Linked DNA regions of Coturnix japonica. The protein of the gene in region 2 binds, or shares a complex with, the protein of the main gene of each other region. Links are inferred from orthologs where the notes say so. Each region holds a gene or a part of one and is shown on either strand. Other genes may lie near its edges. The genes, in order: BCL10 and MALT1.

The links.
Region 1: the proteins of MALT1 (region 2) and BCL10 are in contact, whole or in part, in a cryo-EM structure (PDB 6GK2), measured with the Homo sapiens proteins. The link is inferred for Coturnix japonica from reciprocal best matches to the Homo sapiens genes MALT1 and BCL10. Residues at the interface, in NP_006776.1 of Homo sapiens: Asp46, Gln47, Ala48, Pro49, Trp54, Arg55, Leu74, Glu75, Ser78, Leu79, Val81, Leu82, Glu83, Pro84, Glu85, Gly86, Pro88; in NP_003912.1 of Homo sapiens: Leu13, Lys17, Val83, Arg87, Asn93, Gln97, Thr100, Leu104, Arg107, Asn108, Leu111.

The regions. Positions count from the first base shown.
Region 1 is NC_029523.1:14,244,430-14,248,346, reverse strand, and holds the start of BCL10 (B-cell lymphoma/leukemia 10), read right to left. Parts: upstream 2,748-3,917; 5' UTR 2,572-2,747; coding exon 2,494-2,571; intron 1-2,493. UniProt on the Homo sapiens protein: Plays a key role in both adaptive and innate immune signaling by bridging CARD domain-containing proteins to immune activation.
Region 2 is NC_029547.1:743,462-746,218, forward strand, and holds the end of MALT1 (mucosa-associated lymphoid tissue lymphoma translocation protein 1), read left to right. Parts: coding exon 1-271; 3' UTR 272-2,049; downstream 2,050-2,757. UniProt on the Homo sapiens protein: Protease that enhances BCL10-induced activation: acts via formation of CBM complexes that channel adaptive and innate immune signaling downstream of CARD domain-containing proteins (CARD9, CARD11 and CARD14) to activate NF-kappa-B and MAP kinase p38 pathways which stimulate expression of genes encoding pro-inflammatory cytokines and chemokines.

The DNA.
Region 1 (3,917 bases), on a different chromosome or scaffold from region 2:
TTATTTCAAAGGTAATTGACAGGACCAATGTTACTATTTTGAATTCCCCTTTGGAAGATCACGTGCCTTCTCTTATAAGGAAGAATTTATTCACACACGTAGCAGAACATAAAGCAACCTTTGTTTACCTTGCTCATAGGGTTCACACAACCACAAGCACCTTCAAAATAGAGATTATATTCCTCTTATTTTAATCAGTACGTTAACTTCAAAACAGAACTAATGCCTCGTTCCCAACTCTGATTTCAAGAACCAATCCACTACTCTATGAAGATGAGTCACAAATGATACCTTTTTGCTTGAAAAACAGGCTTTCATTTTACATAATACTACAGAACTGGCAGTTTCCCTTGCCAACAGTTTTCACTGTAATGAAATACACAAGCCAGATCCGCTAGCTGAAAGTTGCCAGTGTGAAAGAAAACCTCCTTCCATCAAATTTTCCTCATTTAATTCAAAGAAAAAGCAATTTGAGAGCTAGAAGTGGGGAAAAAAGCTTTACATACAAGTGGTGAAAGAAACAATCATGGCTTTTTCCTGAAGAAAACCTCCTCCAGCTTGTTGAGATTACATTATATGAAAACAACGTGAAAGAGACTCTTTGCTTTACTTGTGCACTGATGAGCAGGGAAGGTTTTTGGAGCAAACTGCCATAGTCAGACTGAATTCAATGTGAAACCAGAGCATAACAGTGCGGCTGGAGACGGGTGGCTCCTTCAGGCTCCGGGCACGCAGCAGCTGTAGCTGTCCCTACGTGTTTTCTGAGCCTGGTAGTGAGAGGATCCAGTTCCACAACTGGATGATGACTTGATCCAGCTTCCTGTGCTGGACAGGGCACTGGCCTAACTGACTTGGTAAGAACAGAGAAGGGCAGCACTGCTGTATCCACCTGCTCTGCAACACGCCTCAAGTGTCCAACTGCAGCAAGCTGTGCTACAAATACTGCCTGCAACACTGATTTTTTCCACTTCTCGTACCACTTCCTACCACCATGAGGGATCGATCAACAAACTCTGAGACACGAGAGTCAGTAAAATCTTCAGTATTAGAAGTATAAAGCAAGTTGTTACTCAAAAGAAGAGTACTGTGTTTTGACTAACACCTTCCTGTACCATGCCTTACACTACACGATGTGCATCAGTTCTGAATTTCCCTGACTGTCCACGCAGGTGAGCAGTTTGTAAGGAACAGAAAGAGTCAACACAGAAGAACAGGAGCTTTAAAAACCCGTTCCTATATCAGTGTTCTTGCATGTCTCACTGCCTTCTTCCCAGATCTCCAACATTAGATTCCACCCTTTGTAATTTCTCCTTTAAACAAGTCTACCCTAGATCTCTGTAAGAGCCTTCTGAGGTACACTGTCATATAAGACATGTGGGATTTCTGATGGTGCAACTTTTCTATCTCACAGATCATTGTGCAGAAAAGGGTGTAAGACTCCTGTGACAGTCTGGGCAGTTGCTTTAAGTCTTCTTTGATGTGACAAAATGGTAGGGAGAAGGTATCAGGAGCCTGGCTAAAAGTTTAAATGTTAGTTTAAATTTTATTACAGCTGTGCTCTCACAACAGTTAAGCTGGATCTGTTCTGATATCCTAACTGCCCTGTGAGCCACTTAATCTAGTTGAGAGCTGGACAAGCAGCTGTTTCTTTTGTTATGCTCACACACGCCTGCCCTGCAAGCTCTGAACATCGCTGTGCTGCCTGCATGAAGAAAGACCAGCACCTGGCCTGGTCCACAGCTCACATGAGTGTGCCTGATCAGAGGTACCTGAACAACTTCGGAGCAACCAAGCGAGCACATAACAAAGCAGCAATGAACCTCCCTGATAGGAGAGTCTCTAGAGTCAGATTTACTGTATTGCATTTTGGTGCTAAAATTGAAGTTCTCTCTTACTACATATCAGCCTTCCATCAAGTCCTCCAATTACTATATGGGATGCAAGATTAGAGGCTGAAGGGATACTGATGGACTGCTGGGAGAAGAAACCGTGAACTCAGTCACTAACACAGATCAATTTAAACGAGCCTGTATGCATGACGTGATATGTAAGTAGGTCCTGCCTTCATCTTTTGTGTTGTTGCGGCATCAACCGGATGCTGCCTATTGCACTTGGAGGCTCCACAGAAGCAAGCAGTAACTCGAAAAACACGCCTCACAACCTATGACACAGCATTTAAAGGAAAAGCTGTGCACATAAAACTGTTAAGAAACTAAGCTAAGCTCTGTCCTTGCAACCACCTGCCGATACCGCCTTAACTACCCGCACTTCTACTCTACCCTAAGACGGACGGAGAGCGGCGGGGCTCTGGGGAAGAGCCCGGCCCTGGGAAGTTCCGCGTGTCTGGAGGCTGCTCCGCCCCCTTCATTCCGCCCCATTCCGCCCTGCTGCCCGCCGGGGAACTCCGCGCTGCGAGGCGCCCCCCGCCCGCTCTAACGGCGCTTCCACCTCCCACCGCACCGGCTCCCGCCCGCCGTCCGGCCCGGCACTCGCCTCCTTCTTCACGTCGGCCATCTCGTCTTCCGTCAACGGCCGCCCGACAGCGCTCGAGGCCGGGCCGGAGCCGTCCATGGCGGAACCGCTCCGAACGAACCGCTGCGGAAGCCGCCCCCGGTACCACTTCCGAGCTGCGCCCCGCCCGCCGGGCCACGAGGAAGGCACGCGGCCGACCCGCCCACCGGGTGGGTTGTGCCGGGGCTGGTTCAACCCTCAGCCCGTGAGCTCCGTGTCCCTCAGTGTCACAGCGGGTCATGCTCCAGGTGCTTTGCTCCGCTGGCTTATTCATAAGCACGTTCCATAGCAAACATCCCGCCCAGAACGCTTTAAAAGTACAGCAATACTCGCTGTTCTGATGTCCGTAGAGCTGGGTGTTAAAATTGCAGCCCCAGACAGGGCAAACTTGTGCTTTGAGATCGTCTGGAGCTGCCCACAAGGTGCTGTGGCACTGCTGAGCTGAGGCAGGTGTCCCCCAGCTCCCCACTCCCACATTGGTCATTAGCTGAACATCTTCCAGCTCCTCTTCAGATGAAATTCTGCTGAAGACCTTGATGTCTGTACAACAGTTCTAACAAAAATAGCTGCTGCACACCCTGAAGTTCAGATATTATTAACCCCACTCAGTTAGAGGTGCAGTTCAAAGCCACGCAGCACCTGAAGAGCTGGGATTCTGGATCTGGGATTCTGGATCTGTGCACCACAGTGGCCAGCATGGGGCAAGCTGGAAGGAAGTAACTGTGGGCAGAAAACTCAGTAATAGAATAGATTTGAGCAGATTTACTGCCAATAAAACTGGAATTAAAAGCCCAGCAGCCGGAACGAGACTGCTTTCAGTATGATGCTCATTTCAGGAGGTTAGCATCAATTCAATACTGATACATGAGTCTCAATGAGGAGAGAAATAGAGAGCTCTTTTATTGAAGGGAGGTGGGAAGATTTCAGACACTGCACTGGTTTATATATTCATGTACATACGCACGTTTAGAAGACATTTTCAAGTCAGACAAGTTTCAGATACTGCTTACAACGTCGCACTGTTCTAAGTGCTCACACAGGGGCCCCTGCAAGCTCTGTAGCACTATTGGATTGTGAGAGGAGGCCACTGGGCTCTGCAGCACCATGGCTGGCTGCTGATTCCTCCCCTTCTGCCCGCACTGATCTGCCTCTCCCCAGGCAGCCTCACTGCAGAGCAGGGCCTCTCCCTGGGTGCTTCATGTTCCACAGCAGCGCTGCCCAAGTGAGGAAGAAAGCTTCCAGGCATTGGGAAAGACTTTGGTTCAGTCAAAGACACAGATCGGGGGGCCTTGACCAAACTGAATGGATTTCTGGAGCTAACAACCACAGCTTTCAAACAACAAACCCACAGCAATCTGCCTATGCCTTGTGGATTTGGGGTGAGGTAGCTGAGAATATGAGGACGT
Region 2 (2,757 bases):
TCCTGTGGTAACTAAATACTACTTCCCTAGTCGATGCCAACCAAATTCCTGCCCAGGGGCTTACCATCCAAACTGTACTTGCCCAGGCAGTGCTAGACAACTAGAGGCGTGTTCTTGCAATGGGACTTCAAGAATGTTAGCTTCGAGACACGAAGTACAGAATTACTCAGCCCCTGCAGAAAAGAGTAACGTACCAATAGAGACCACTGATGATACCGTTGAACTGGAATTCCTCCTGTCTGACAGCCTCAGGTTGTCTAAGCAGCAGTAGCTGTGGTGTCTTCAACAAAGATGCTCTTTTTCCGTTCTGAACAGGAGATCCTCCACACTGCTTACTCAGATTCTGGATTTTGGAGATTTGGGGATAAAAGGACTGGGGAGTGCAGAGTTGGTACTGGGAACAAGGCTGTGACTTGGGCTGGTTCATATTGCTCTCAGGGAAAATTGTCCGGATCCAAGGAGGCAAAACTGGACTGATAGATTTAGAAATGAAAAAGACATATATAAATGTATTTTTTCCTACCATTAAAGGTTTGAAACATGAGGAGAAAACAAAACCAGACTCCTCAGATTCCTATTCCATGATCCAGCAGTCAAGAAAGTAAAGAACACATGCAAGCATGGGTCTGTGGGAGGAAGCTTCCTATCTGTGTTAGAGAGTGCAAAGAGGCCGGGTTCTGGTGCCAGCGTTTCTCTTGAAGGTGAAGCCTTGGATCTTCCCAGCTGCTGCTTCTCCAGTACCTACTGGAATTGTAAGGTTTACTGTAAGTGAGTGCTTTGTACTTAAATACTCAGCTTTTAGAGGGGAAATGCTTGTTCTGTACAAACAAACGTGCCTAGCCATCAGAGGACAAAAATGTCAGCAGACTTGAGCAGGAAAATGAATTTCCATTTTCTCTGTGATTTTAAAAGAAATCATTAGCCCCAAAATGATAAATAATACCTTTCCCTTCAGTCTCAGTTTTTCAGTATCCGGAGGCTTCTTTTTACATACTGCATTAGCACGGGGTCTGGTGTTTTAGCGTGTTAGAACAACCTTCCTGTTGGGTGTATAAGATGACACAGAGTAAACAAAGGCAGGGCTTTTCCAGAAGTGGAAGTGTGGTGGTTGGATACTCTGGTGTTAAGAACTGTCTCCTCAAGCGAAGTATTGCTTAAGTAAAATGTGCTGAGATACAAAGAATGAATGGGTGAGACAACCGAGAGCTTTGGGGTTCTTCAGGCTGAAGTTACAGGGCTGGTGTACCTGGGCAGAAGCCATTGCTTTCTTGTGGTGATTGAAACAAGCAAGCAAAACCCAAACAGCCTACTCAGTTGTTTTCCAAGCCAAAAGAATTCACGTTCTTTCATGTTGAGAGGATAAAGAAGTCTAACCAAAGAACCCAAGATGGTGATTCCAGCATGCCCAAGTGCAACAAATAGAGCTCATTCACAATCTGTGCAAGCCATGGGATGCTGGCTTTGTGGCAGGGCTGGAGCTGTTGTATATTGCCCTGTAGCTTTGGTAATACTGTTAAATGGTATTGTTTTAATTAAAATTCCCATCATAGAATCAGAGAATCACAGGTACCCCCAATAAGTTGAGTATTCTCAGCGATGTAATGGACGAAGCAATTCGGATCCTCAGTAGAGCACGGAGCCTTCCATGGGATCCAGGTGTGCTGGCTGGGTGCTCTGTGTGCTGCCAGCAAAGCCAGCTGAGTGTGAGCAGCGCTGCTGGCCAGCTCTGCTCATCTCATCTGTGCTGCATGGCGTGTGTGTGTACGTGGGAGCTAATGTAGTCATCTATCTCCACATTGACAGCTGTACTTGAACTGATCTGTGTATGAGTTTCTGATTTCTCCTTTGGAGAACAGTGAGGTATTTATTGATGACTGAGATGCACTGTGCATTAATTATCCTATGCAATATGCAGCTGGCCTATAAATTAACATTACAGCTTGATGAATGTCCCGGCACTGTAATATGACCTGGTACTTTGTCACCGTGTTCTGCTTTGTATGAGAACTTTGTTTCTTACTCCTCAAATAAACTGTTGCCCACAGGGTATCTCTGCGCGTGTAGCTGCTGTTTTCTCCTAATCCTGCGGGTTAAAACTGTGCTGTATTGTAACAGCATACAGCAGAATTCTGCCTGTATCAGCACGCTTGTTTGCAGTCGATCTCTGCTCCTCGTGGCACGGGGGGGCGTCCTGGTGCGGCAGTGCCGTATGCAGCAGCCGTGTCCCTGCACAGCGAGCAGCCGGCGCTCCCTGTCTGCATGCAGGGTGCTGCACCAGCGGTCTGAGCGGGAAGCGATCGGTGCCTCGGGTGCTTGAGATGAATCTGTTCGAACGTAGTAAAGAGAAGGTCATGAACTGTAGGGATGGGAAGGAGACAAAGCTCAGCCCGTGGCCGTAGGGTCTGTGATGGAGATCAACCACAATGATCATCTGGTTTCAACCCCCTGCTGTGAGCAGGGTCACCAACCAGCAGCCCAGGCTGCCCAGAGCCACATCCAGCCTGGCCTTAAATACCTGCAAGGCTGGGACATCCACAGCCTCGTTGGACAACCCGTTCAGTGCCTCAGCATCCTGTGCTGAAGAAGGGGGTGGTGGTCAGAAGGCATTTCCTTGTGGTGTCACCACTCGTAGGACGTGCTCCGGACGTTCTGGTGCTGAAGGACGAGTGCAGGAGGTGAGCATTTCCTTTGGCTGAACTTTAAAAGTGAAGCAGGACTAAACCTGGGCAGCTGCTGGAGCAGCCTCTGGTCGTGGTG